Linked DNA regions of Mus musculus: regions 2, 3, 4, 5, 6 and 7 are each reported to be linked to region 1. Evidence: microRNA targets listed by miRTarBase, many of them from high-throughput screens and not tested one by one. Region 1 holds a microRNA gene; each other region holds the end of a gene's coding sequence.
Evidence for each region. Region 1 holds the annotated microRNA mmu-miR-185-5p (UGGAGAGAAAGGCAGUUCCUGA, at 2,054-2,075, shown strand). A microRNA usually pairs through its seed, bases 2 to 8, with sites in the 3' UTR of a target mRNA and lowers its output. Matches are read on the target gene's strand: a 7mer-m8 pairs with bases 2 to 8, a 7mer-A1 pairs with bases 2 to 7 and ends in A, and an 8mer does both.

Region 1 (4,067 bases):
AGCAGGGGCCACTGCATGGCCTTACACCAGGGTGCTCCCCTCTCTGAGTCACTGTGTGGTGACTTCTTGTAGGGCCACAGTTTTGTTGAAGAAACCTCAAAACCATCTTCATTCAACTGATCCCTATCAGATCAGAGTTGTAGTCTTAGTACAGTTTATTACAAGGGATGGGTATCGATTAAAATCAACAGTAGAAAAAGGACAAAGCACAGAATCTAAGCAAGACTAGGCACAGGTTCCTATTTGCCATTTCTCAATGGAGCTGCGTGCCCCTGCTCAATTCTCAGCAGCGGTATGTGAACAACACAGATGGAATTTGCCAGCTGGAAAACTTGCTAAGCTGGGTATCCATGGTTTTATTTTACTAGAACTTGATTATATGGAATTGGCAGATTTCTGTACCATGTGGCTGACTTTTTGTAATATCCAGCTGATAACTACATGTCCCAAGGCCACCATCACAAGTCATAGTAACAGAGCCTATCTGGCATTGCCCAAGGCTTTGTGTTAGTGAGGACTCTTTCCACAAGCAGGACATTCCAAAGAGACTATTAGAGTATGTAGGCTGTAGGTAGCCCAGGTCTCCTGCACTGAGCCTGCACTGTACACACCTTGGCTGCCAGTGAGCCCACTGAGCAGAGAGGTGTACTTGTATTGGTGGAAATGGGGTGCTTGACTTTTTTTATAGAGGCCAAGGACATAGTGTGAGCCCTCTGTCCAGTGACAGGTGGGTGTGAGATGTGGGTGCTCTGGGCTCTTTCTGCACTTGTAACCTCAAGAACCTTTTGGCATGGGTCCCAGTCCCCAGGCTGGAATCTACTATCATGGTCTCAGCCTTTGCTCACTGCTTTCCGAGGAACCCCCAGGACTGAGGCCCTGTGCTTAGCAGGCTGTCACCCTCCTCCCTTTCTACAAATGCCCAGAGGGTTTTTGGTTTTGTTTTCCATTTTATTGTTATGTATATGGGTGTTTTTCCTGAGTGTATGTCCATGTACCACATGTGTGCAGTGGACCAGGGAGCCCGGAAAAGGCATTGGACTCCCTGAAATTGGAGATACAGATGGTTGTGAGCCACCTTGTGCATGCAGGGAAATGAACCCAGGCCCTCTGAAGAGCAGCCAGTGCCCTTTTTTTGTTATTGTTTGTTTTTTGTTTTGTTTTGTTTTGTTTTTTGAGACAGGGTTTCTCTGTGTGGGCCTGGCTGTCCTGGAACTCACTCTGTAGACCAGGCTGGCCTCAAACTCAGAAATCCGCCTGCCTCTGCCTCCCAAGTGCTACGATTAAAGGCGTGCGCCACGCCCGACTCAGCCAGTGCTCTTAATTGCTGACTTATTTCTCCAGCTCTTCCAGGGAGTTTTATTTTTTTAATCTCTCACCATTGTAACTGACTAATCTGACCTCAAGCAATTCTACAGTTTTTATGACCCTGGTCACTCGGGCTTTTTTTGGACTGCCAAGAACAGAAATTCTACTGAAAACCCACTAGCTAATAATAAGCCCAGGAATAGCGAGGTAGAATTATCATGAAGAAATCCAGGCACATCTCTCCCCAGGACATGGCCCTCGGACACAGCCTTATGGCCTTTAAGGACCCCCTGTGGTACGAGCGCTCTGTTGTGGTCCCATGGGCCCTGCTGGTCCAGAGAGCATGGGAAGTATCTAGTGAGTTCAGGGGTGTGAACCCTGTGAGGTAGTTTTGACTATCACGTACCTACTTTCTCTGCAGTGTGCGATCAGAAGGCTAGGGAATGGCTAGGGTTTGCTCTCAGCCCACAGGTGAACAGGAGCAAGAAAGGGGCTAAAGAAGTGGCATAGCAGAAGGGACCTCACCAAGTCCCGAAAAGAGCATCAGACCCTCGGGTGCCGGTTGGAGATGCCTGGCATTCACAGGGGCTTGCCAGCCGCTTCCTGGGAAAACATCTGGGCTTAGGTAAAGGCAGGATCTGTTACGGGAGAGGTATATCAGGAAAAAGGTATGAGGAGTAATTTGCTGGCCAGAGACGGCAGAGGGACTGTGGGGCAGCGGGCCTGGCTTGAGTGGGGGGTGAGGGATTGGAGAGAAAGGCAGTTCCTGATGGTCCCCTCCCAGGGGCTGGCTTTCCTCTGGTCCTTCTCTCCCAATGACTGCGTCTTCATCGATGCTGCAACCCTGAGCTCTGGCAGCACCTCCAACTCCAGGCTGCCTGGAGACACATCGATGGCCTTCCTGTGGACCTTGGAGCCCTCCTCACATCTCCAACCTAGAGGGCTGGTCTGCTAGGGCCAGCTAGGATGGCAGGTCCTGCAGCTGAACTAGAGAAACACCCTTGATCTGGCTATGTCTGCTGATAGCTGCCTCTGCCAGAGGTCCTACCCAGTACAGCCTAGGGAGGACCAAAGGAGTCTAAGAGCCAAAGCCTCTTCCTGACACCAGCAGCTGATAGGAGGGGCATGTAGGTCCAATACCTCCCATAAAGACAGTTCTTTGCACTGCCTGTCTCATTAGCTGTGTCCAGTCCGGTCTTGAATTTATCATTGTTCTGTCACACACACACACACACCCCATAATGCTGTTGGCCTTCGTGGGCCCTATGGCGGTCATTTTTTGTTGTTGTTTTTTTTCAAGACAGGGTTTCTCTGTGTAGCCCTGGCTGTCCTGGAACTCACTCTGTAAACCAGGCTGGCCTCGAACTCAGAAACTGCCTCTGCCTCCCAAGTGCTGGGATTAAAGGCGAGTGCCACCACATTTGAAAAATGACCGGCGGCTGTCATTTTTCAAAGAACTTTGTAAAGATTCCTTTTTGTGCTTTGACCCCTGGTTTTCTCTCTTGCTTTTTCTATCCCATAGCTGTTTTCCTGACTGCTTTTCTTTTTCTAGAATGGCTAGTCTGTGATATGCATGTCAATCTTAATTAATTGCCAAGGTCACTGAATTTTAGGGTTCTTCACCCCACAGTGTGGCTTTGTTTCCTGTTTTATAGAATGCTAGGTATGCCACAATTTCTCTTAGAACAGCCCCATTTTATTTTATTTTATTTTATTTTATTTTTATATTGTGAACGTGTTGCCTGAATGTATGTGTGTACACCATATATGTGCCTAGACCCATGGAGGCTAGAATGGACCCTCTGAGACTGGAGTTACAGATGGTTGTGAGCTACTGTGTGGGTGCTGGGAATTGGAACTTGGTTTTCCTGGAAGAGCAGCCAGTTTTCTCAGTTGCTAAGCCATCACCTCACCTCTTCCTTTTTACTTTTAAAATCTTATGAATGATTATTGTTGTATTTAGAAGTGGGCATACATGCCACAGCATACTTGGGGAGGTTAGATGACAACTGACCTCTTTCCGTTTATGTGTGCATTCCTGGGGTTGAGCTCAAGCCCTGCCCACCATACCCTGCTTTCCTCTTTTATTTATACACAATGTTTCCGAGCTCCTGAAGATAGCTGTGGGTATAGTCCTCCCTTACCCCGAGAGCATTTGTCTCAGCCTAGTTCTAGGGTAGGTCTTTTATGTGGCTTTGACTTTATGCCTTTCTGGAGATTGCTGAACTCTAAGCCCCAATTTGCCAGCTACTCTGGGACAGATGTTGTGGCACTGTCACAGATTGCTGAGGCTGCTAGCTTCCCCAGGGCTCTAAGGCAAGATGTAGCCGTGACAGACTGTCCTGAGCCTCCTTACCACGGTAGTGCAGGCACTGCTTTGGTGGCAGTCTGAAGAAGCTTAATTTCATAGACCCAAGAATTAGAATTGCCAGTGTCTGTCACAGTGATACCCTTGGTATCCCTGGAGCTGGGGCTTCTTCCAAGGCTGTAGTGGCTGTTAGGATTCCTGAAGAAGTGAGTGACAGCTGTCTTTAGGTCTCCAACCCCATGCTTTCTGCTGATGTGCCTCAGGGAGACTTTGAAGGCCCTCACCTAGGGCCCTGGAGTAGAGAATAGGCTGGGTTCTAGGTGTATTGTGCTGCAAAGGAGGGCTATCAAGGGCCTGACCCACAGGCCCATCTTTATGTGTGCACCAACTAGGACCAAGGCCACTGCACAAACCCTCTCCAAACCTGAGAGTGAACACAACCTGACCTGAGCCC
Region 2 (4,067 bases), not on the chromosome of region 1:
TCCCAAACAAAACTAACAAACTAAAAGAAAAAATTCATTTGTGTGATTAATATACATTAGTAGAAAAAGTCCTGCCAGGCAGGACTGTCTGAGGGCCTGGGGTGGGGATTCCAGGAATAAAGCCTTCCGGGCTCCTCACCTTTCCCACTCCCCTTCCCAAAGTAAAGAGGAGGGGAGGTCTGCAGTGTGGGCCATAGATAGAAGTTGCCTGGCAGGCTTTAAGGCTCTGGCTCCCACCTGCAAAAAGAAACTTTGTTTAAAAAGTCAGTTTAGGAATGTCAGGGTAGGCAGCGCTGGGGACTGTGGTCATCTGCTGCCTCCTGCTGGCCACAGCATGAATTTCTGTCTTGGAGCACGAATACCCAAGTCCTGCTCACTGGTGAAGAAGGCCTTGAGACCTTCCACAGCTTTGTGTTTTTAGTGCCCAGTTCTCCATCCTTGTGCAGGCCCCTGACTAGCCAATGTGAACACAGAGACGGGGGTACGGGTTAGAATGTGAGGCCACAGAAGGTCTAAAGTTACCAGAGAGCGAGTGAACGCCACCTGGTTTTGCTGGGTATGCACAGAGAGCCTGCAGGATGGCTCTAAGAGCCAGGAGGGGCAGGCGGTTGTCATCCCAGGCAGGCTAAGTGGTCACCCCCTCCCCCCCAATGCTGGCCATGTTCCCTGCAGGACGCACATGCAAAACATCAAAGACATCACCAGCAACATCCACTTCGAAGCCTACCGAGTGAAACGCCTCAACGAGGGCAACAGCGCCATGGCCAACGGGATCGAGAAGGAGCCGGAAGCCCAGGAGATGTAGATGCGTCCCGCCCCTGGACCCCACCCCCAGATCTTTTCATCATCCCTGGCCCACCCACCTACCCTGTCTTATTTTATATAATTATCTCCTTGTCACCTGCCTCCATCCATCTCTTCCCACACTTTGCCAGGTAACAAGAGAGGGTTTACCTCCCAAGTGTGCTCTTATTGGCTGCAGCAGCAGGGTGGGCGGGGCTAAGCCTGGGCTTGCCTCTGTGCTCTATTTCCACCCGGGCTCAGCCCCTGAGGGGTTAGAAGAGCTATGTGTCCGTCCCCCGCTCTGAGTTCTAAGCTGAAGCCTGTGGGGGCCAAGTCCTAGGGGGTGCAGAGGAGCCCGTTAGACCACAAGACCCCATGGCCGCAGCCTCAAGCAGGTTAGAGACTGCCCCAAAGGAGGATGGAGCTGGCCGGGTATTCCTGAAACCTCACCTGCCCCTCCGGGGGCGTTTCTTACAGCGCCCTCAGCTGCCTGCCCCTCAAGGGAACTAGAGGCGTCACAGCCAAAGTTGCCAATCACTTAGACAAAGTGACAACCGTGCCCCTCGAGCTTGTCCCAGAGCAGAAAGTGCCTTGATCTACAAGAGCCAGTCACCTCTTCCCAGATGTCCCTTTGGGTGAAAAGCAGGGACGTGCTGGAGAGAGGGAGGTATCTTTTCTCCCTCGCCCTTGGGTTCTCTCTCCCCTGTGCTGTAGATATCGCTACTACACTGGGCTTTAATTATAAAAGACGAAGCGTGAAAGATGCTCCCCGATGTTAGGAAGCCCCGCCCCCAATGTAAGGAAGGTCAAAGCAAGAAGATGAGTCGAAGCCATGAGGGAGGAAGCCGTGGAAGGGAGGCATAAGAGTGTGTGGGAGCTCTCCTGCCCAGGTGCCGCGGAAGGCATATCCGCGTGGTCCTCAGTTTGGGCCAAGATATTCTGGTTACATTGATGCTCCGCTGCCTCACCCTGTCCCACCCCACACACCCCAGGCTCAAGCCTTGATGATTCAGTGACTGTACTGGGTGGGAGCCAGAAACCTGACCATTTTGTTGTCTACATGAGCCTAGACTAGCCCTGTGCCCCAGAACCCATCAAAAATACCCCTAAAGAGGGAAAGATGAGGGGGTCAGAGATGGATAGCCAGGCTCACTCATCTTCTCTCAGAGGGAACATTAGGGACCATCCATGCACAGCTGACCAAAGCCGTGTCCTTCCTGCCTGCCTCCCATTCTCATTTGCCCCTGAGGAGAAAGTTTGGTGAGGTGCGTTAGGTTGGACCCGCTTGGGGAAGGTGCCTCTACAGACCCAGGGCTAGCTTTCTGCAGCCCAGAAGTGCAGTGGGAGGGGTGGGGTGCAGACAGATGGAGACGAACATTGTTTCCTGCTTTGGGCGTCTACTCCCTCATCCAAGCATGGAAGGGCCCCTCGTCATGCCCTGTGGCCGAACAGTTCGCTTGCCAGCTTGCCAAGTTCTTTTGCCAAAATCAGGACTTTGAAGGAAATCTCCAGCACGCTGGACCCAGGGCACTCCGGCCTTCACCAGCCCAAGTGACCCTGGGGATTTAGCAGCAACCCGGTCATCAGGATGACTTTGTGCCTCTGTAACCAGGTATTGAAACTGTTCGTCTCACCAGGCCGGTCCACGTGGCCCTCTGCTGGGGGCTTCCTGGTGGGGGGGCAGAAAAGTCTCTCTCTCTCTCTCTCTCTCTTTTTTTTTTTTTGTATAAATAACAAAGTGTTGAAATGTATTTCCTGAAATAAATGTTTCAAATACAAACTTTTTTTCTGGAGTTCTCTTTGGCAAGACCTGTCTGGTCCATTAAAGGTGGTGAGGGGAGCACGGGAGTAGAGGCTCCCAGTGGAAGGAAGCTATAGGACTGTGTGAGATCCAGAATTAGGAATCAGCAGCCCAGTGGTGAAAAGTTAGCCACACCCACTGCCTGTAATCCAGCTTGTGGGACATCTGACGCCCTCTTCTGGCCTCTGGTGGTACCTGCACACATGTGGCAGACACATATACACATAAATACAAATCTAAATTTTATTATGTGAGACCCTGGTAACTGGCCATTTATAATAATGTTATTCCAAGAGAACTAAACCATGTGTGGTCCCAGGAGGCTGGCTGAGCCAACCAGTTTTGTGTACAGGAATCAGGAAAGGGGAGGGTCCCTCTCTGTGTGCTTTAATGTCCCCAAGCTCCTGTGGCAAGTGACTGCAATCCAGACACCCTGGAACAATACTAGTGTACACTCTCACCATTCGGAAGCCCGGGACCGAGTGTTGGCATGGCTCCATCCCCAGTCCCCTGCCACCCCTGCTCCTGGGGACTGCGTTATTTCAGGTCCATGCACTTTGCTCTTGAGGGACACTCGTTTCAGCCCAGGATAATCTCATCTTGATTTTAATTACATCTGTAAAGATCCTGTGTTCAAATAAAGTTTTATTCTAAGCTTCTGTGCAGGTGGGAATCTGGGGCGATCACCTCCCCACATTCCCTTCCTGCGTCTCAGGGGTTCCAGAGCTACAGGGACAGCATGAGAGAACAACCCGAGGCTCGTTTGCATCCACCAAGCCGAGTGAGTGGTCTAAGGAGTGACCCTACCTCTCTGGCCTGCCCACACTCTTCCGAAGGCCACCTGAAGACAAACGGGCTTCATCAGCCAATGAGTTGTGCTCAGCGGCCTCATGGAACCAAGCATCAAGTTGTTGATTTTGGCTGTTGATGGCACTGGTAGAGGGGGTCTGGTCCATGGAGGCAGCTTGCTTGAGTCCCCCAGTTCTAAGTTCCTTGACAAGTACACCTCGAATTCCTCCTTCCTCAAGACTGAACTGTTCTCTGTGCATCGCCAGTCCCCTCCAGCCCCAGGTGCTTAGGCAGTCGTCAGCTCATTAACCTGACTGGCCACCAGCCCAGCTCACCCGCACCTCCAAGCCAGTGATGGGGGAAACCTCACCTCCCACTCAAGCAGACACTGTAGGACCAGAGTGGCCAGCCGTTCTCATCTGCCCAGGAACGTGGGCTTTCTTGTGCCTCCTAGCTAGCAATGAGGGAATTCTCACCTTTCTACTCTCCACAGTACCGGGGTTACAGGCATACTAAGAGGAAAAAAGTTCAGGTGCTGGGACCCACATTCAGGAACTCAAGCTTATGCAATGTGGGCTCCAGCCCTGAATGTAAATGTGGGCTTTCCATGGAACTATCAGAGCTAGAACCAAAGGGAGGAGGGAGGGGAAGCTGGACAAAGGACAAGGTGGCTTCATGGTGTGGGACCCCATGC
Region 3 (4,067 bases), not on the chromosome of region 1:
CTAGCCAACACCCATCTACATAAAAGTATATAAACATATCTTTATCTTAAAAATCCCCGAAGTCCTCATTAAATATCTTAGATCCCCGCCGTGTTTTGATTTTTGTTTCCCACGTGGTGAGGATATAATATCATGTCCATACTGTAAGGCGTGAATGCCCTCCCGTGCCTCTCGGACACCTCTGCACTCATCCAAGTTTTCTAAGGAGCTGTACTTGCTCAGCAAGTACTCAATACCTAATAAATGGTTTATGTTTGTTTCAACACCAAAAATGTCCAAAACTGAAAGATCAATTCTGTTGTTTTCCTTCTGGCCATAGGTTGCTCATAGAGTTCTATGATTCACCAGATCCAGAAAGAAGAAACAAATTTCCTGGGAAAAGTGTTCATTCCAGACTAAGTGTGAAGAAGACTTTACCTTCAGTGTTGATCTTGGGGAGTTTGACTGCTGTCATGCTGATGACGGAGTCCGGAAGGAAACTGTACATGGGCACCTGGTTGTATGGAACCCTCCTTGGCTGCCTGTGGTTTGTTATTAAAGCATAAGCAAGTAGCAGGCTGCAGTCACAGTCTCTTATTGATGGCTACACGTTGTATCACATTGTTTCCTGAATTAAATAAGGAGTTTTCTTGTTGTTGTTTTTTTGTTTTGTTTTGTTCTGTTTTAAGCCTTGATGATTGAACACTGGATAAAGTAGAGTTTGTGACCACAGCCAACATGCATTTGATTTGGGGCAAACACATGTGGCTTTTCAGGTGCTGGGGTTGCTGGAGACATGGAAGCTAAGTGGAGTTTATGCTGTTTTTTTTTTTTTAATGTTTTCATGAATTAATCTCCACTTGTAAAGATTATTGGATACTTTCTGTAATTCAGAAGGTTGTATTTTAACACTAGTTTGCAGTATGTTTCGCTATATTGGTTATCTTCCATTTGACTACTTGGCAGCTCAGACTCTTAATACTAAAGTATTTTACATTTTGAAGCTATGTGATACTGGTTTTTTGTTGTTGTTGTTGTTAGTTTCTGAAAGTCAATGAAAGACACTGTAATGATGCGTTAAGATGTTCCAAGAAAAAGGTGAGAATTATTCATGGCAAAAAAGATCTGTCTAGTGTATATTTTTATTATATTGCTCTATTTAGCTAATTTTCTTTATATTTGCAAAATAATGAACATTTTTAATATTTATTAAAATGCTTGATTTGCATACCCCCGATTCTACAGAGAATAATGTGTAAAGTGTCAGAATAGACTTGAAGCTCTGCTGTGACTCAGTCTCCTTTGTCAGAGCTTCTAGTAGCCCAGCTACTGAGCTGCTTTGTTAGTACCTCCAGCACCTGAGCCGTTAAGTACTTATAAATGCAAGGGACCCGTTATCTTCATATCGGAATAGACATGAACAGAGCTCTAAGGCGATGAAAGTCTGCCAGCATCCTCTCTGTCCTCGCACGTGCCTTCTGCCTGGCTCCATTTGCTTTGGCACTGCGTTCGATCTAGAGTGTAGGTGCTCACTGCTTATTTCAGCCCTGGCTCTGTGGTTTTGTGTCCTCCAGTGGTGCTGTTCACTGTTGGGGTGCAGGTGGTGCTGCCCTGACTCAGAGGGGCAGCTCCCTGGCTCCTGAGGGTGAGCCTTCTTGGCTACTACAGAAGTATTGTGCGTTTGTTTATGGCAAGAACCATCAGGATTGGATAAATGTGTTATTTCTCTTTGATTTCCATGGAGCCACACTGTTGGTACATGTCCCCTGTGAACAGAGCTACCTTTCAGGAGCACATCATACTGTCGTGAGTCACGGCACGGTGTGTCCTGTGAGAAGAGGCTTTCTAACGTGTGATTTGCCGTGTTTCTATGTTGTGATTTAAGCGTGATTGCCTACTAGTCATTCAAGGTAACATTTCTGCAAATTTCATACAGATTTTTGTCACAAAATTACTATACCAATGATCTAGTTGAAATAGACCAATTGAATCACAATAAATAATTTTTTTTAATTGAGGGAAAATTTGCTTCTTGTTTTTTCAAAGCCAGAAAACGAGCCATTTCAAACATCTTTGAAGAGTCATGTGCTGTCACTTGTTTTCTATGTGTTAGTGTCTATATTCATGTATGGATACACATGAACATGTATATTCATACACACACGCCAATAGAATATAACAGCCTAAAAACAATCCAGCTTGTGTATCATGTTACTGTGCTGAATTGTAATGGTTTTTACTTACAAAGTGAGGCTAAAATCGATTTCATGTCTTTGTTAAATACGTTTTTTCAGCAATCCTATTAGAGCTTATTTTGACCAGATCAAAATAAGTACAAGTTCAGAGACTTTAAATATGGCTGAGGTCTAGAGCGATAGCTCAGTAGTTAGGAACACATGCCACTCTTTCAAGGGCTTCAGTTCCCAGCACTCATATGGAGGCTCACAGAAGGCTGGAATTCCAGCTTCATGGAATTGGACACATCCTCTAGCTTCCATGGATCTGTCTGTCTGTCTCTCCCTTCTCTCTCTCTCTCTCTCTCTCTCTCTCTCTCTCTCTCTCTCTCTCACTCACTCTTTAAATATCATGGATATGCTGTGCATTTAAATTTTAAGACACAGAACCATTGGAATTACATGGATTATAGCTGATTCTCTTTGAACAGGGCACAGTGTTCTGCGTAAGATCTCTTGATCATTAGCACTGGACTCACTCTCCTCACAAGTAGCCTATCAAATGTGGTATTAGAAAATACATTGTGTCAAAATCTTTGAAAGATGAGAAGAATCTCCTAAACATGTTTATTTTGACTTGACATCACTATTTCCTGAAAATTAACTGTCTATGATTCTTTTCACATAGTGTAAGATCTTACTTGTATCACCATCAGCTTGCAGCTTAGGGGCTGCAGTTGTTCTCCTTCATAAGACTGCCATCCGTGTGCATGCTTTTATGTTTTTCAGAAAGGATGTTGGGATGAAAGTAAGAAAACAAATAAAGTCTCTTCTTGTCTCTCATGTCTGTGATCACTAGCATTTCACAACTCAGGGATTCATCCATTTTCCAGCAGATAAAAGGGTTAGCGATTAACCCTGCATTCTGAGTTTAGAAAGCTACAATATTTTTTAAATATTGAGCAATGATTTTAAAAAAATACATTGGAATACCCCAAATTGTGAAGCAATCCAAAAGTTGGACTGTATAAGCTAATTTGCCTACTTTAAAGGATGTGACCCTCACCCAGGAAACCTGTAGGATTTACTTAACAAAGCTTTACATGAAAATGCCACCGTGGCCATTTCTTAAACACTGGTGGCTTCTTCCAGATTTCATTTCTATGTTTGTTTGTTTGTTGTTGTTTTTTTACTTAGATTGCTGTGAGGTTTTTTTTTTTTATAACAAATATACATTTTTTTCTTTGTCACATTACATGCTTTGTCAATCAAATGACCTAACTAGGTTGGCTATTAAGAAAACTACATATTGAAATCTGCCAAAATGTCGGCATAAACAAACTGGCTCCTAATTGTGTACCAGATCTACATTTGAAAGAACAGAAATGTCTCACAAGACAATAAGGTCATATGTAAAACACTAAATAAACTTTAACCTCAACAATTGTTTCTGAAGTGTTGAGATTAAAGACTGAGTGTTTGCGGAACGTTGACATGTCCATGGCCAGGCTAGTTTCTCGTTTTCTTTTTGTCTTAAGACTAAACATTGGCTGGCTTAAAATATTACCAGTTCTATATAGTTTACATTATAGACAGAATATATAACATTTAAGTATTAGTATGAAAATCAGTACTTTGGTGAGACTAATATTTGGAATATCCAGATGATTTGATATCATGTAGGTAAAGTAAGTATTTGTGTGACTGACTGAACTTAAAATCTCTTATTCATATATCATGGATAACAGCTGGGAGTTGTGACACATGGCTGCCATCCAGGCACTCGGAAAATCCAGGTTTTGAGAAAGAGAGTGTTTTCCAAGTCAGCCTGGTCTATATAGCAAGCTTCAGACTAGCCAGGACTGTGTACCAAGATCTTCTTCACACCACCCACACAAACAAGAGAAGTTATAT
Region 4 (4,067 bases), not on the chromosome of region 1:
CAGTCATTTAAACAAATGGTCCCAGCCTATATTCTTTTTTTAAAAAAATATTTATTTTATCTGTTAAAGAGTGCTGTTGCATGCATGCATGTGCACCACACACATGCAGTGCTCACGATGGCCAGAAGAGGGAGACAGATACCCTAGAAGTGGAGTTACAGACAGTTGTGACGCACTATATGGATTCTGGGAACCAAACCCAGGTCCTCTGCAAGAGCGAGCCATCTTCGACTATCCAACATTCGTCTGAGAAGTTTTTAGTACACTGTAATTCAGGTCAAACTCTGAACTTAAAACAACTCAAACAAACAAAAATCTTGTGCACCGGTTTTAGACTTAAGTTGCAAAGACGACAGAGAGGTTCTGCGTGCTTGTTTTCCTCCTGAGAACATGTCATGGTGGTGCATTTATTAGTTTAACACCAATATTGACACATCATTCTTTACCCAGAGTACACAATTGTTACTAGTTCTTCAATTTTTACTTAGTATCTCTTTTTCTCTTCTTGAATTCTCACCATGGATACTTCCTCAAGGCTCCTGTATGCTAGGAAGCTCTCTCTCTCTCAGACTGGCTTTTGATGACTTCAACAGTTCCAGGGGAGTAAGGTATTCGTAGATCATCCTGAGGCTGCCTGCATGGTACTTTTCTCCTGCCTAGCCTGGGCTATCATCTGAAGGAAAAACACCACAGAGGTCATCTCATGCATACAACTACCAGTGATTGCCAATGCTTGTATTGATGTGGGCATCTGACTGAGGTAGTCTGTCTGACTTCTCCTCTGCAGTTATCCCTCACCCCTTCCCACACTAGATTTCTAAAGGAAGTTAATCTATGCAGTACATCTGAGAGAGCTTTGCTTCATTTCCTTGAGGGGCAAGAACTAAAATATTTAGAATTCTGTGTGGGGGCTTTACTTATTCCATTCTGATAATGTTTCCAATCATTTACCTATAATGGCATGGACTCAGGTATCTTTGTGTTTCAGGTTATAATCCAATACTAGGTTATTTATTGCTCGACATTTATTTCAAATTTGGCCACTGGGGCCACTTTGAAATGATTTCTATACCCCTTTGACATGAGCTAGTCAGTCCATTTGGGCCATTTCTTTATTCTTTGCATTGCAAGAATACATCTTTTGGATCATCAGATTTATCATAGTTGGGTAAGTGACGTAATCTTTTAATATGGCCAGAAGAGCAAAGTGCATGAATTGGTGAATCAGCACACGATCATCGATCAGTATCGATCAGTAACTACTCTTTGTATCTTCAGTTGTTTTAAGTTCAAGGTCCTATCCTAGCCTTACCTTCAGCTTGGTTTAGAAATCAATGATGCTTTTGTAGTTTTGCATATTCTAAGCAGAACGAGAGAGTTGAAGCTACTTAAAAGTACAGGCTTTGAAAGAAGCCTGTGGTATTAGTGCCCATAAGTAGAGATTACATTCTTGGCAGTGTAGTGCTTCAATATCTTTACAAGCTCAATGAGAGGACCTTTACATTGTAAAAGAAGAAAAGTTAAGATGCAGAGCTTCCGTTTATTTTTGAACGAAAGCAATCTTCAGATTAAAAAAAAATCCCAGACCCATTTTAATAATGACAAACATTCAGTTGCTAAAGGATTTCGGAAGGAAAAGGGCCCTAGAAACCCAACCAGGGCTCAGTGCTCAAGTTCACAGAGAGTACACTGGGTAAAATATTAGGCAGCTGTTCAAATCCGTGTATAATTAGGAGTTTGAATTCTCACGTATCTGCTTACATGTATTTGTGTTATTCTCATGCCATTCCTGCAGCGGGTCAAATTATCCTTAGGGAGTTCAAGTGCTTCTGACAGCCAATGCTTCTTAAATCTTGCATTTCAGTTCCACTCCTGCCTTTCTGAACTACACACAGGAAGAACTGGTCTAGGCAGAATGCCCCTAGTTAATACTAATACTAGTTCTAACTTAAGACGTGGAAGAGCTTACTGATTCTTATTATGTAGACTCTGAAGGAAGGAGGGAGCTGGGCAGGGGGAGACTCACACTTGCTGACCCCACCTCAATGCTGGGCGGGGCAGGGGGAGGGAATAATCACACTTGCTGACCCCACCTCCAGTGCTAGCACTTGCTTACTGCCTCAGCTGGATCCTAACACTAGCCCTTCAAGATTAAGCCAGGATAGCTAACTAAAAGCCTCAGGTTCTTTAATCAACCTATTGGAAGACGGCAAATTATTTAAAAGACTTTCAAACTTAGAAGAGCAAATCCTTTTCTGATTTTGTATATTTTGTTGTTGCTTGAGCCAAGTTCTTGCTATGCAAACCTGGCTGGCTTGGAACTCACTCTGGGAACTAGGCTGGCCTTGAACTTGTGGTGATCCTTTGCCAGGAACTCCCAAGTTCTGGAATTACAGGTATGTGCCACTATGTTCAGTCAGTAGTTTCTTTTTTAAGAATATAAAAGCAGGAGGTAGGAAGATGGCTTGGTGAATAAGAGCACTTGCTGTGAAGGCAAGTGGACCTGAGTTTAAATGCCCACCACCCATCTGAAAGACAGGTATATTCAGTTACTAAAATTAATAACTAGTTAATTTATAAAAATAATTTATAAAATTAATGTTATTAAAATTGATAATGGATCACATTAAGAGTTCTATAGAGTTAGCCATTTATTAGATTGACTTAGAGATAACACCTTATTTCATACATATCAACGAGCATTTATTCAGCATGTGCCACATGCCGGAACTTAGCTATTTTCTGTTTTGCCCATGTGATACCCTCACTGTATTAATCATGAAGACAGGAATGCCTCACTGTCTGCACCCTGGATTTTGGACTCCCAGTCTTCAGCACTAAGTGGCTCTTCTTTCTGGACTGCCCTCTGTGGGAATTCCTGAAATAGATATGTGGGCTCTGCTTATAAGGTCAAGTGCTGCCAATATGCGCTTGATAATGGAAGCAGTCTTTTCAAGATGGGTTATCATCCAGCGAGGTCTAGCTGTGCAGTGCTAGAAACACAACAGAGTCAAGCATTAAAAGAACCCTGCTAATGACATACAAAGATGATGAAGGGGGCCTGAGCTCACGGTCTGGGAATGACTAGAGGGAGAGACAAAAGGCTCACGAGGGAGGGAGATGAATCAATTAGTGAAAACCCAATATCACAGAAATAAAACCAAGAAGGATTAATGATTGAGGGAGGAGAGAGAGGGGGAGGAAGGGAGAAGAGAGAGAGAGAAAGTGAGGGAGGGAGAGGGAGAGGGAGAGAGAGAGAGAGAGAGAGAGAGAGAGAGAGAGAGAGAGAGAGAGAGATTGTGATTGATTCCTGTGCAGTATGAAGCTGTGTTCAGTCTCATCAGGTTCTGAAGGTGTGGCTAGATGGCGTTTTCCGGTGGCAGCTCAAGTACTGCGCTGCCACATCTAAAAATAAGCCAGGATGACAGCAAAGAAAGCAACAGCCAGCATGAGGACACGCACTGTCACCAGTGACCCCCCAGAGCTGTCTCTTTCCACCACTCTTGTCATCAGAGGCTTCCGAACACGATCTTCCGTGGTGAGAATAGTTTTCCGGGCTCCAGCCCACTTTCCAGGGCCCTGTAGGCGATACTGGACTGGAGTACAGGGCCCCAGTAGTAACCGTAATGCCAGCCTGGGGTCAGTGAAGACCAGAGGCAGGATATTGGGCCTGACACCCACTAAATCTGCAATCTCTTCCATGGTGTCTATATAGTCTCCCTGGATGGTATGACGCTGGCTGTCCACATACCTAAAGCAAAGAAGACAGAAGTCCCAGGCTATCAGCAATTCACGCAAACAGCAAGGCAACCAATCAGCCAGTCGGTGCTTTGTGAGTGTCTATCTGGGGGTTTGCTATCATGCTAAGGACTGTGAAGAGTTAGGACATTTATCACCTTCCTTACGGACCTTAAGATGCAGCAGACTCTAATGCATAAACACTCTGCTCCAGAAGGCCAGACATGGATAAGCCTTCAGGTAAATATTTCAGGTTGGATGGGGAAATGAAAATGTAGAGAGATCGCAGCTGGCAGGTTTCGGAGGGAGTTATCATGCAGGGGGGTGGA
Region 5 (4,067 bases), not on the chromosome of region 1:
TAAAATTAAATAACATTTAAAAGTCATTTCTTCAGCCATCCCCACCTAATTGCTTAACAGCCATGTGGCTAGTGGCCACTCTACTAAACAACACTGAACAAATACAGAACAATTTCCATCAATCCCAAAAGTTCTATCAAACAGGACTGACTTAGAAAATTCCAAGAGCTGAACTAGCATACAGCTGAAACTCCAATGGATCCACTCTGTGAGTAATGCAGAGGGTGAAATTTAATTCTGTTTCAAAAAAAAAAAAAGCCTCAGACCTTCCTGATAATAAGGTGTGACTGAAATTCAGAACTAATTTGCCTTTATCATTACAATTTATGTCCCAGGTCATTATACAAAATTTTTCTAAAGACGACATATGAAGTGCCATACTTGGCTCTACTTAACACGGTAAGCATTCTCTTGCTTATATCAAGATCATTAATAAAGAAGAAATTCATGCTTCTTATAGGTTACTATTTACACAACACTCATCGTCCTGGACATGTGGGGGGCAGGATCCTGGTTTATGTTTTACACTTCTAAATATTCGAATCACATGGTTTGAAAGTTTTCTTTTAATACCTTCATTCATTCCTAAATCAACCCCCCCCCTTTTCTTTCCCAAAAAGAAGCTATCTAAAAAGAAATTAATATCTGAAGCAACCCTCAAAGCAATAGCTGACACAGGGCCTTCCCAGACTCTGTAAACAATCATAGCCTGAGAGGGAAAGTGGTGTGCCTCGGGAGGAATAACACGGCACAGCAGGACACGGGTCTTGTCTTCTTGCTATAGAATTACAACCTGCACACTACTGCTCTCTACATACCCCAATGAGCTCATCTGCAAGATGAAGCCACTAGAGCCTCCTTTCAGCTGCAACTGCTGTCCCTGCCACTGGCATGTGATTCTAAGCCCTGGCTGCTTGCCCCACATGAGATAGATAAAGTTTTAGTGTTGTGGGTAAATTCCAGAATAAACTGAAACATCAAGTATATAGAAGTTGGCAGGCCTCCTTGCCCCCTCCTCTAACACACAACCACACACACACACACACACACACACACACACACACACACACACACACCCTAATAAGCACATATGCAAACCATAGGCAGAATCCATTTCAACCGTTTTAAATAATGTCTCTTAGACCAAGCACACATAAAAAAGCTTTGACTTGGGTTATTACTGTCAGGTTGTAAGGTCAAGAGTCTACCAGGGAGCAGATTGATTTTGCTTAATTACAGCTCTAACATGAACTTTTTAGGAGTTCTGTGGACAATTTTACTATACAGCTTTGCAAGAAAAACCACAGGACACCATATCAACACACATGTTAGTATCTATAAATAGCCTCCTAAACAACTAGAACATTTTCACACACTGTACTATAGGATCACTCATTTTCTACTGTACAGGAAGGTATGCTGATATCTCTCACAAATGAATTTAAATATGGCCTGGCTTAAAATTGCAAGAGTAACATCCATTGGAAACATAACATCCTTTACGCAACATTTTTGTCTATGTGTGTTTTCTCCTCCGAGAGAAATAGAAAGTGGGTCAGACATGCATTAGAGCAGCCTGAGAGTTTGAGAAATTGATGCTAACCCAACAGTATATTATGTTACATAATAGAGGATAGTATTCAGCTAATGATACCTAAATTATTAATACCAAATAAATCCTAGATTATTCGTTGTATAATGCCCAATAGCTTACACGATAAAATGGTATTTTAACCTAATTTCTAGTTTGAGCCCTCAGATACATTTTTTTCCTAAAGGTCTTATAAATTTGAAAGATTTTAAAAACCAGAGCTCATAATTTGATGTTGAATTTTCATGTCAATTGTTATCGTTGTACTCTAGATGTTATTCCTCTGTTTTATTTCACTGCAAAGTCATCACTTTAGCACACGTCTGTTGTGCAGCTTGAAGATGAAGGCCAGCAGGCCAATCATGCTTCCATGTTCCAGGGCTGCTTCTGACCTTGCTTAGATCCTGTGCCACTCTTTCCTTTCCTTTGCCTTTCCCACCCTTTCCACCATTTCAGGGATTCAACAGAACAGCAGGGAGGAACACAGCTGAGTGGAGTCCTTGACAAACATCACTCATTCCACAAACAGAGTTCAAAGAGGACTATAGCGCTGGCAACTCTTTCAGAATACACACAGCCAGACTAGGGACTGCTTCTTTTATGCTAACAGATCTTTCTTCATAAATTCACATTTAAAAATAGTTGAGCAATCATGAGAAACTGGTTCACTTACATGGTGAGCATTTTTGTTCACCGTACTACTTTTGGCAGTAGAAACATTTGAAATACAAAACATTTTCTTGAAAGTTCCAACAAGATGAAATTGAATTCTAAGCAGGTTAACTCTTACAGGAAAATCTTTCAAAGAAAAGATCATCAAGGACTGTCTATTACAATGCCCATCTAGGTATGCCATTGATTAGCAACATTTGTGACTTTGACACAAAGCCCTCCAAACTGAGGGAAAATGACGAGTTCTTCTGATGCTCTGTCTGAGCCTTTACTGACATGGGATCACTATACACAGCAAAGTGCAAGTGGATGTTGGAGGTGATGTGGGGGAAAGATCCAGGCACCGGCCAGGAGGCTGGTGTTGTAGACACTTGGCTTATGCACGCCCACAAAGTCTTACTCCCAGGATTCTTCAGGAAAAACTCAAAAACCTGAGATAAATTGAATTACACACACAAAATACACACAGAGATTCACAATATTTACACTTTAAATTCTTATCTTGTGAGATGGCTTGAGAAAGATTGGCATATAGGTTTCTTAGGGAATTAGACATTGCCTATATATTTCCCTGTCCATCACTTGCCTGTTGGGCTTCCAGCTTAACAAGCACAGAGCAAGCTTAAATCACAGATGAAGAGAAATGAAGGAACTTGGCAAAGCACAACACACTGAAGACATGTGTGCAAATATTTTCTTCAAACAGCCAAAAGGTCTGTTTTGATTATTTTGATTTGGGTGCCATTCAAAATGTATAAAAAGTTTATGAAGACCAGGGTTCAGTCACACACACATACACACACACACACACACACAGACACACACGCACGCACGCACACACACGTGAGCATACACACACAAACATGCACACACAGGAGCCAGCTCTGGGTCTTCACTGTTTTTGTTTTTTAAACATGGATTTGAGGTTTAATTCTACTTGTGTACACAGCATCTGTTTTAACCTACCGTCTACCGTATTTAGAGAGCTATTGCACCCACATGTACATTTTCATGTCTAAGTAGAAAAGTCTAACTTGAGACCATGATTTAGGAAAATCATAAATTACAGCCCATTGGATACACAATTATGAGGAAGCATGCAAACATCTTCATAGTTGTCACCATCTTGAAACTGTTCTCCTGGGATCTTGCTGAGACCTCACCCTCTGCACTTGTCTTTAGGTGAATCAAGTGACAATTGCAGGCCAGCGCTTGCACCAAATGTGCAGTGTCACCCCCATCTCATCACAGGGATCCCATCACCAACACCTGCTCACCCCCTAAGTTGGCACCCACAAGAGGCATCCCTGTGAAAGACTTCAACCACAGGATATCACAGTGAAGCGCTTAGAGATGCAGGACATGTTGTGTAGCACAATGCCCAGGAGGAAGACCAAAACACAGGCCACCAGGATGACAGTGCACACGCCAGACCATGTGGAGCTCTTCACCACGCCCCTTCTGTCAGGCTCCTCCTCCACAGCCTCCGGGGGAGCTCCACCCTGCAGGGGCTGCTGTTCTGCAGGGATGGTCACCACGGTGAGAGACTTCTGCTGGCTCCCTGGCAGCAGGCGGCAGCCCATGTCTCCCGGCAGGAGTGTACGCTCCTTAGAGATGGGCAGGGGCAGCATGTAGCACCCATTGCTTGGAAGTTTGATGAAGACTGGGGTATGCTCGGAAGTGTGTGGTATGGCAATGACTGCCAAGACCTCTGGGTCATCGGGCAGTTGTGATACAGAGAAGCCCGGGGGCAATTTGGTGATGCCACGGCACCAGGGGCACCTTACGTCCTTCTGGCTGGTCC
Region 6 (4,067 bases), not on the chromosome of region 1:
AACTCTGCTTCCCCATGGAAGTCTATAAGGTCAGAAGGGGCCTGTGGTGGTTCACACTGGCCTGGTTGATAGAGGATAACAGGCTAATTACAGAGCTACATTTGGGCCTTTGATGCGATGGCTCTGTTTAGGAACTGGTTGTGAATGAAAACAAGCTGTATCTTGTCCTTGGAAAAACTGCCAGGTGTGCATCTAAGGAGGGCTATCACATTTGGAAAGCTTTTGCTAAAACCATCCATCTGAATCCATTCTGTGAATCATAGAGAAAATTATTTTCAGAAAGAAAAAAATAGATGAGAATTAATGATTTCTGTATGTGTTGAAGCTTTGTAAGTACCCAGGGTGACCATGATAGTGTTCCTGATAATGTCTGAATGGGTGAGATAAAATATTTCTGAGAGGATGACTATCATGCTTTGAATTTAAATGGTCCTCCAAAGGCTTGAAACCTTGGTCCACAGCTGGTCCTGTAGTTTTGAGAGTCTGTGGGACCCTTTGAACATGGATCCAGCTGGCAGATGTAAAGCCATAGCAGTCAGAGTTGATTTTCCTGCTTCCCAACCAGCTGAACTATAAACAAACCAGATAACAGCGTCTACCACTATGGATCTATTGCCACCATGCCTTCTTATCCTGATAGACTGGACCCCTCAAGCCACACCAGAATAAATCCTTTCTTCCATTATTTGTTTCGTGTCCAGTACTCAATCATAGGGATGAGAAAAATACCTCACAGGATCACATCTCCTGAGTTCGCCTCAGGCAGCCTAGAGAATCAGAGAGGTAGAGTCACACTGTGTTTGAGATTCCCTGAATATTTCCTAGGCAAATAAATAATGCTGATAAGGTTGAATTCCTTTTGTCTCTTTTAGACAGTCTCCCCCATCACAGGCTGACCTTGAACTCACTTGTGTAGCGTAAGGCCAGCCCTGGGCTTCCACCATGGTGTTGAAATTACAGGCATTGCACCCCTATAGTGATTTTACCATCTTCTGTTGGATGGTCTCCCAGTGATGTCCTGCTGTGTTGGTCAATAGTGATTGGACAGGTATGACTTGCACAAATAGCCCACCTGTGTTTTTACTTTTCTTCCAACACTGATGTGTTTGCAACACCCATTGGCTAACAGAACCCTCATTTCACCAATTCCAATGTCTCTTTTCCTGATATTTCTATCACCTCTGAGGAGCTGTCAGTCAGTAAAGTGCACAGATCTTGACAAATCTATGACTTTATTTCCTTTTTTTCTTACCTTTACTATTGTTTTGTGTCTACCACAATGTGGGCATTATAAATAGAAGATCTGAATCTAACTTCCAAATTTGTCTCAAATAAGAATGGTACAGGGATTCATGTTCTTTGATGTGTTAGAGAGCTGACCAGATCTACTGGCTCAGACTCTTTATGACATAAGGTCCCATTTCTGAGAAGGCTTGGTAGCAATATCTACAGTGTGCCAAGATTTATCTCTTCCCTCAAATAAAAGTGACTCCAAAAGAGAAACACAAAAGCCAGGTTCTGGAGCTCTGGTGATGTGATAAGACATAATTGAACAGATGATAACTGATAGCCCTGATGATCTAGCATCATCTCTGTGTTTTATGAACTACTTATTTATGGTCTACTTCTCTTTCCTATTAAGATATTAAGTGGGTTGTAATTATTATGGAAAAGTTCACTTGCCTGAGCAAGGAAGAGTTCTTTAAAGTGAAAGTTGTATGAAAATTTTAAAAGTGGGAAGAGAGTTAGTTGTCATTGAATTACCCCATAAGATAGAAAAGGGTCAAGGTGCCTGGTGAACCCAGCTCTCCTGTTACAAATACTGCTATGTTTGTCTGACTGTGAAGTGTCTGGGTTTGTCCTATACACAATTAAACTGAATTAAAAGCATGGGATTCTATAATTTCCTGGTATATGTGAAATAGGAAGACATAGGAGAAGAACAAGGAAGTTAGTTAAATAGTTTAATTAGAGCCGTTTTACAATTCTAAAATTAACAAGCAGACTTGTAATAAAAGATCTCCAATGTTCGCAGAATGACCTCGCTTCCATTCTGAACCTGTCTTTTTTTAATTGTAAAGATTAGAATTACATTTAAAAGGACTCAAAATGATAAAAAGAAAAGAAAAAAGAAAAACATAAAATGAATCGATGTACATGGTCACCCATGTCTTATGATGCAACCAATGAAATCTCTGAATGGATATTGCTTCAGCTTGGATATCAAAAGATGGCCTGTCAAGGCGTCCTTAACCAATGACTGATCACAGGTGGCCAAAAGAAAGAGGAAAACCCAAGACTACTGTCACATTGGCGATGGTTCCAACTGTCGGTGGATGACACTGACTCCAGAAATATGAGGAAGCCCACAGCTTTGTTACTACGGATGTAATTATCACGAAAGTTCTCCCATGTGGATCAACTTGTTTCTGAGGGCTTTCTTTGTTCATTTAAACTTGCATAATAAACATGCAATGAATTATTTCTTTTGAAAGTTGTATTTTTGCAGTCTCTTTTTTCATACAAAGATTTCATAAGTTGCCATGTAGCATCAGAGTCTTTACCAAAGTGGGGAGGGTAAATGTGACGTAGCTGGATGACAAGAGCCTCCTTCTGTCCTGAGACACACCACCCTTCTTTTGAAAATAGCGCAGATAGCTTTTCTTACCCTCCTCCACCAAAGAAAAGAATAAAAGGGGAGAAAAAAGAAAGAAACCAAAATCACAAAACCATTTTATCTAAGAAAACAAGGTTGATGTAAAGAAAATAAAGGTGTTTGTCATGCACATTATCTTCTGCATAGCTCAACCCACTTATAGTAAGGCACTATTTCCCTTTGCATGGCAACCTGTTAAGTGCTACAGTGCTCTATGACCCTCAGACACTTCCTTCTGGGATGGCAAAATAAAGAGCCTGGGTGAGTGTGACTGCCGTGCTTGGCTGCACAGGTCTGGCAGCTTGTGGAGACTCCATGACCCTTCAGGGGAAGCTGTCCATGGGTGTTATGGTAGAGTATCCATGATGAATTCCTTTCCAGAGTTCCTGGTTAGTCTGAATGCTTATTTGGATTGTTCTTCGGTCTTTGTTTCTCAATGAAGATACATGAGGTGGGGGGAGAACAGTCAGGTCCTCTGAGACTGAGCATCCGTGCATCAGCACAAGATGCTGGTTAGTGGAAAATATGAGTAGGTGTTTCCAAGGTGGGGGGGGAGAGGGAGGGAGGGAGGGAGGGAGGGGGAGAGAGAGAGAGAGAGAGAGAGAGAGAGAGAGAGAGAGAGAGAGAGAGAGGAGAGACTGAGATAGAGAGAGAGAGAGATTGAGAGAGAGATTGCTTTTGGTTTTCAGAGACAATCAAGGTATGATGCTAATTTAACTGGTCTTCATACTGTTTCCGGAAACAGTCCCCTGCTGGGAAAAATTCCCAACACCTCTCTTGGTACATCTTCCAGACGTAAGATTCCTGTAAAAAAGAGAAAATAAGTGTGTTAACCCAGTGTCCAAAATCTATTAGATAACACAGGACAGAGTAGAAGAAGTCATTCAACCCCATTGATATATCATTAAAACAAGAAAAGTCCCATTGCATTCAGATAGCCCCACTTAAATTACCATCACTAATAAATGATCTTCAAATAAACAGAATGTCTTTAGCTTGACCAATATATGATAACAACATATTTTTAAGTCTCTAAGGTTTACATTTATTATGATTTTTAATTTTATCCAAGTTCAAACTATTATCCATTTATAGTGAGTAACCCAGAAGGGGAATTTCAAATTTTCCTAAAAAAACATAGACATTGAATGTTTTTTTCCCAATTATAATTTTGTAAGTGGAAGTTTATTTGAAAGTATAAGCCACACAATAGCCACAATCTTTAAAGAAGAAAAAAGATTGAATTCACAAGGAAACTTAGTATTTTTAGTTAAAAGCTTAGTTTTAAATGTGAAATTAGAATTTTGCTGTCTCTCTCCAGGTAGCATAATTAATATCTAAAAGCAATGTTTTTTCTTTTTCAAATCAAATATGTATGTCTGTGTAGTTATGCACTGGTGAGCACAGGGCT
Region 7 (4,067 bases), not on the chromosome of region 1:
TGGGGTGGGTGGTGGTCTCCGGTGGGAGTCCTTCAGCAAGGGGTGGGATCTATGAGGGGGTGCAATGTTAGTGAGTGCCCACAAGGGGGCAGCATAGACCTCTCAGCCATAGAGAAGGTGGGCGCTCTGGATACTGGAAAGGGTGGACTTGAGGCCCAGCTGGTAAGTAGATTGTATAAGTGTTCTCTGCTACTCTTGTGTCTGCTCAGAAGCAGTGGGTCTAGCACTAAGGATGTCACTATTGACCATAACTTCTTTCCTAGAGATAAGGTCTTATGTGGCCCAGGCTGGCTTTGAACTCACTAAGTAGCTAAGGATGCCACTGATCTTCTAACCCTCCTGCCTCCATTTCTTGAGTACCGAGTTTACAGTCATATATTACCATATCCGGTTTATGCAGTGCTGGGGGGTGGAACCGAGTGCTTTGTGCATGCCAGGCAAGCGTGCTACCAACCTACCAGCAAGACACCTTCAATACCGGCTCAGGAACAGGCCTGTTGATTGCCACTAACAGCCCATTGTGAGACTTCTGGGGTGGGTGGCACAGCTCCGTCATACTTAACTTGGCCCCGAGTGGCTCTTCCAGGCACACTCTCCCAGAGCAGCTGGCCCCACTTCCATGGTGCCCTGGCCCAGGTTCACAAAACAGCTTTCTTTCCTCAAGAAACAAGCTTGGGCTGAACAGCCGGAAGCGGTTCCTGATGCTGGGCAGGTGGGAGCTAGTGCTTGGGGGGGCTGGGAGTGGGGAGATGGATGGGGGGTGGAGCCAGGAAGGGATTAGTAACTAGGCAGCAGATAGCTCCAAGCTGTGTGCCCATGTGAGCGGGCAGCCTAAGTGGAAGGCGCTTGGCAGCAGGGCCTACCACTCCCTGCTGAGCATTGAGGAGTGGGGGGAGGACGATGTCTTGTAGTTGAGAAGTGAGCAGGGCCTACACTCAGGACTGCCACAGTGACGGTGTCTGTTTGGTACCCTGAAGAGGAGACAGAAGGTCTGGATAGCACCCGTATTCTGGAAGTAGACATGTAGAGTCCTACGGCTTTACACGAATACTTTGGGCACTAGAGGGTGGATGGGCAGATGAGCTGGCTAGAAGACGCCAGCCTAGTGGCTTAAGGCAGGAAGCCATCTGACGGAAACACTGACTGCCAGGCCTCGTGGGGCTCTGGGGTGGTGGGAGGTGGGCTGGGGAGACAGTTAATCTGCAGAGCATCAGAGAAGCTCCCACCAGAAGGTGACCTTGTGTGCTGGGACAGCTGCCATCCGCGCTGGGTGTCTTTGGGCCATTAAGGGATGGCCAACGGGCCGCTGTTTGCTGCTTTGTGGGAAACTTGCCAATACTTGCCCTGTGTCCAGGCCCGCTGTCCCTACCCCAGGGACAAGCTTCCTCTCTAATCCCTTCCTTCCCTCTGCTCCCGGGTTGAGAATAGGTGAAGGACAGATGACAGGCTGAGCCACGATGGTTTTGCTCACTGCAGGGTCTTTTGCTGGTGGCCTGTGGCCTCAATCTTCCCCCATGGATAGGCTCCTCAAAGATGCTCACCAGACAAAGGAAATGGTCCTGAGATGAGCTGTCTCTGGGATACCCCTTCCTCTTCTAACAGTCTTATCTGCAGCACACACACTTCCTGCCTCCTTCTCCTCCTCTTCCTTCTCTTCCTCCTTCTCCTCCTCCACACAAAAGAACTACTCACAGTAAGTCCGAGCCCTTAGCACAGGAGACAGCATTGTGTGGGGGAGGGGGTTACATTTGTGGCTGAATGGGGTCCACGGGCCACCACTTCTAACGTGGCTTACTTAGCCAGGCACTGTACACGCAACGCAGAGCTGAGCCAACCCAGTGCCTACGCTTCTCTGCCTGTGCTTCTGATGACCCTAGGCTAAGAAGGCTACATGAGCTTCTTTGTTTGTTTGTTTGATTGCCTCCATGAGTTTCCTCAGCCTGGGCCTTTTGGATCCTGAGGGGCAGGGGGAAGAGTCCCTTGCAAGAGCATTAAAGTCATTTGGCAGGTCCCAAAGGTGCCAGGATCTTTTTCTTGGAACTTACAGAGTACAGGGGTCATTTTATAACTAAAGCATTTATTTCCATTCAATTCACTAACCGATTGTTCTGCTCGGATTCCCTGCATTTGCTCACAGGGGAGCCTGCGGCCAGACCCCTTGACTGATGATGGTGTTCCTCTGGCCAAGACCTTCAGACCCAGGCAAAGGCCTCGGGGAAAGAAGGAGTGGGAGAGAGACAGAGAGAGACAGAGAGAGAGAGAGACAGAGAGAGAGAGAGAGAGAGAGAGACAGAGAGAGAGAGAGACAGAGAGAGAGAGAGAGTCACGTGGTCTCCCGGGGTACCCTTGGAGGGCTGGGGTGTCACAGTGAATGATCAGGGTCCTGACTTCCCGGGTAGCCTGGTCCAGGCTCCCAGACATGAAATCGAGTTTTGGCCATTGAAGAGCACCCAGGAACCTGAAGGGGCCTCTGTGCCTGGGAAGTGCCAGATAGAACAGGGCGGAGAGCATGAGAGCAGACAGGGAGGAAGGGAGGACTTCCGGCCTTGGAGCCCTCATCTGCCTCCGTCTGTGGTCCAGTGTGGGCGCTGATGTAGTTCCCTCCACTCTCCCAGTCCCACTGAGGTCTCTGAGTGGCCCAGGTGGCCCTGTGACAGTTGGCTTTGGTGAGGCCTGGCAGCAGGTGGGAGGAGGGAAGGGTATCAATGAAAAGCATATAAAAAAATCCAGAAATGTGCATATAAAATCTCGCCCTTGGTGTATTGCCTAAGTCAGTAAGCAGAAAGCACCTTCTTCCTGGAGAAGGATCAAGTCCTCAAAAGGTAGGAAATGTCAAAGTGTCTCTTCATTGTCATTTTTTTTTAAAAAAACCCAACAAACAAAACCCTCCCAGACCAAAACCACCCCTGATCAAAATACCCCCGGTCCACGGAATCGCTGTAAACAAACCCAGATGCAAGAGTATGCTTCTCTGTGGCAGTCGAGGCTGATGACAGTCACCTGCCTCCTCGTCCTCTGGCTGAGGCTGATCAGGAGCAGGGCCTTGTGGGGCTGCAGACCTGGGTGGCTGTCCTCAGGAAGATCTAGCCTGTTTGGCGTGACCTGGGAGGCCAGGAGCTCCTCTTCCGCCTCCTGAACCATTAGCAGAAAGTCTCTCGGAGTTTTTGGAAACCGTCTCCCAAGACAGAACAACTATCCTCCTGTCTGCCGGTGGCAGCTGGAATGGACTTCCCCGGAGCCTATCTGGGGCGACTGCCTGTCTCTCTGCCCCTTGTGCCTGGGGGCTGGGCCATTAGTGATGCTCCAAGAAACGGCTAAGGCCAGGCAAGGAGGGTGGCTCACCTCTTCCCTTCATGTTAATGTTCCTGGAAGTGTTTCTTGGCTCTGGCCAGCTCAACCTTCCCAGAAGGAGTTGGAGAGAAAATGCTTTTTGGCCTTCACGGGGACAGGCCATGTGGATCTCCCAAGCCTTTTGCTTTTCTCCTCTAAGAACCGTCACTTCCCTTATGAGAATCCTCTTGGAACGAACGTCTCTTGCCTGTCCCGCCCCCTCCCAGATCTAGGTGCGTGTCCCCCCCACCCAATCCCCTTTTCCTTCCTTTGACTTGCATGGGCTCTTGGTGACGGCTTGGCTGGAGTGCTGCTTGGTTCTTCCTGTTGTCTGTGGCCTCCTGGCAGGTGGCTGACCTTGTAGTGGACAGAGCAGCAGGGGGACCGATGTAGGGGGGCTCAGGGGGCGGCGTGGAGGAAGAGGAGAACCGAGGCAGGCGAATGTCAAACCTCTACAGACTGGATCTGGTTCATCTGGGCCCGCATCACCTGGATACTGTTCAGGATTTTTTTCTGGTGGCCAGCTAGAGTGACCCCAACGCGGAGAATGTCCCTTTGGGAGAGATAGACATAACTAGGAAAATGTATGTGTTGGGGGGGGGGTCATGGGCCAGCAGCCTAAACTTCCCCAGGCCCTTAGTGAGGGATGGGGAAGGGGTGTGGGGATGGGCATTGGGTGTCAAAGAGAGAGTAGAGATTCGGGGGTCCCAACAGTCAATGGGGAGGCAGGAGGCCAT

Region 2: miRTarBase lists Septin9 as a target of mmu-miR-185-5p. Seed matches in the 3' UTR shown: 7mer-m8 at 1,479-1,485.
Region 3: the mRNA of Agpat5 is a reported target of mmu-miR-185-5p. Seed matches in the 3' UTR shown: 7mer-m8 at 2,493-2,499.
Region 4: the mRNA of Fmo5 is a reported target of mmu-miR-185-5p. Seed matches in the 3' UTR shown: 7mer-m8 at 3,247-3,253, 7mer-m8 at 3,186-3,192 and 7mer-m8 at 3,091-3,097.
Region 5: the mRNA of Rnf152 is a reported target of mmu-miR-185-5p. The part of its 3' UTR that is shown has no 7-base or 8-base seed match.
Region 6: the mRNA of Ryr2 is a reported target of mmu-miR-185-5p. Seed matches in the 3' UTR shown: 7mer-m8 at 3,288-3,294 and 7mer-m8 at 3,237-3,243.
Region 7: the mRNA of Ephb2 is a reported target of mmu-miR-185-5p. Seed matches in the 3' UTR shown: 8mer at 3,414-3,421 and 7mer-m8 at 2,230-2,236.

The regions. Positions count from the first base shown.
Region 1 is chr16:18,325,446-18,329,512 of GRCm38, reverse strand. It overlaps Mir185 (microRNA 185), which reads left to right and starts at 2,048; the gene lies at 2,048-2,112. The region is part of intron 1 of Tango2 (transport and golgi organization 2); the gene reads left to right.
Region 2 is chr11:117,359,751-117,363,817 of GRCm38, forward strand. Septin9 (septin 9) reads left to right here. Exons shown (of 11, transcript NM_001113487.1): 11 at 673-2,575. The coding sequence ends at 805. Among named protein-coding and RNA genes, the nearest start is that of Gm51932, 26 kb to the left of the region's middle.
Region 3 is chr8:18,881,419-18,885,485 of GRCm38, forward strand. It overlaps Agpat5 (1-acylglycerol-3-phosphate O-acyltransferase 5 (lysophosphatidic acid acyltransferase, epsilon)), which reads left to right. Exons shown (of 8, transcript NM_026792.3): 8 at 320-2,995. The coding sequence ends at 545. Gm35934 (a long non-coding RNA gene) reads right to left here. Exons shown (of 2, transcript XR_870172.3): 2 at 1,713-4,067. Among named protein-coding and RNA genes, the nearest start is that of Gm35934, 19 kb to the right of the region's middle.
Region 4 is chr3:97,651,166-97,655,232 of GRCm38, reverse strand. It overlaps Fmo5 (flavin containing monooxygenase 5), which reads right to left. Exons shown (of 9, transcript NM_001161763.1): 9 at 1-3,751. The coding sequence ends at 3,406. Among named protein-coding and RNA genes, the nearest start is that of Prkab2, 5.0 kb to the left of the region's middle.
Region 5 is chr1:105,280,637-105,284,703 of GRCm38, forward strand. It overlaps Rnf152 (ring finger protein 152), which reads right to left. Exons shown (of 3, transcript NM_178779.4): 3 at 1-4,067. The coding sequence ends at 3,583. Among named protein-coding and RNA genes, the nearest start is that of Gm17634, 73 kb to the right of the region's middle.
Region 6 is chr13:11,551,152-11,555,218 of GRCm38, forward strand. It overlaps Ryr2 (ryanodine receptor 2, cardiac), which reads right to left. Exons shown (of 105, transcript NM_023868.2): 105 at 1,952-3,460. The coding sequence ends at 3,365. Among named protein-coding and RNA genes, the nearest start is that of Ryr2, 550 kb to the right of the region's middle.
Region 7 is chr4:136,651,548-136,655,614 of GRCm38, forward strand. Ephb2 (Eph receptor B2) reads right to left here. Exons shown (of 16, transcript NM_010142.4): 16 at 1-3,883. The coding sequence ends at 3,775. Among named protein-coding and RNA genes, the nearest start is that of Lactbl1, 31 kb to the left of the region's middle.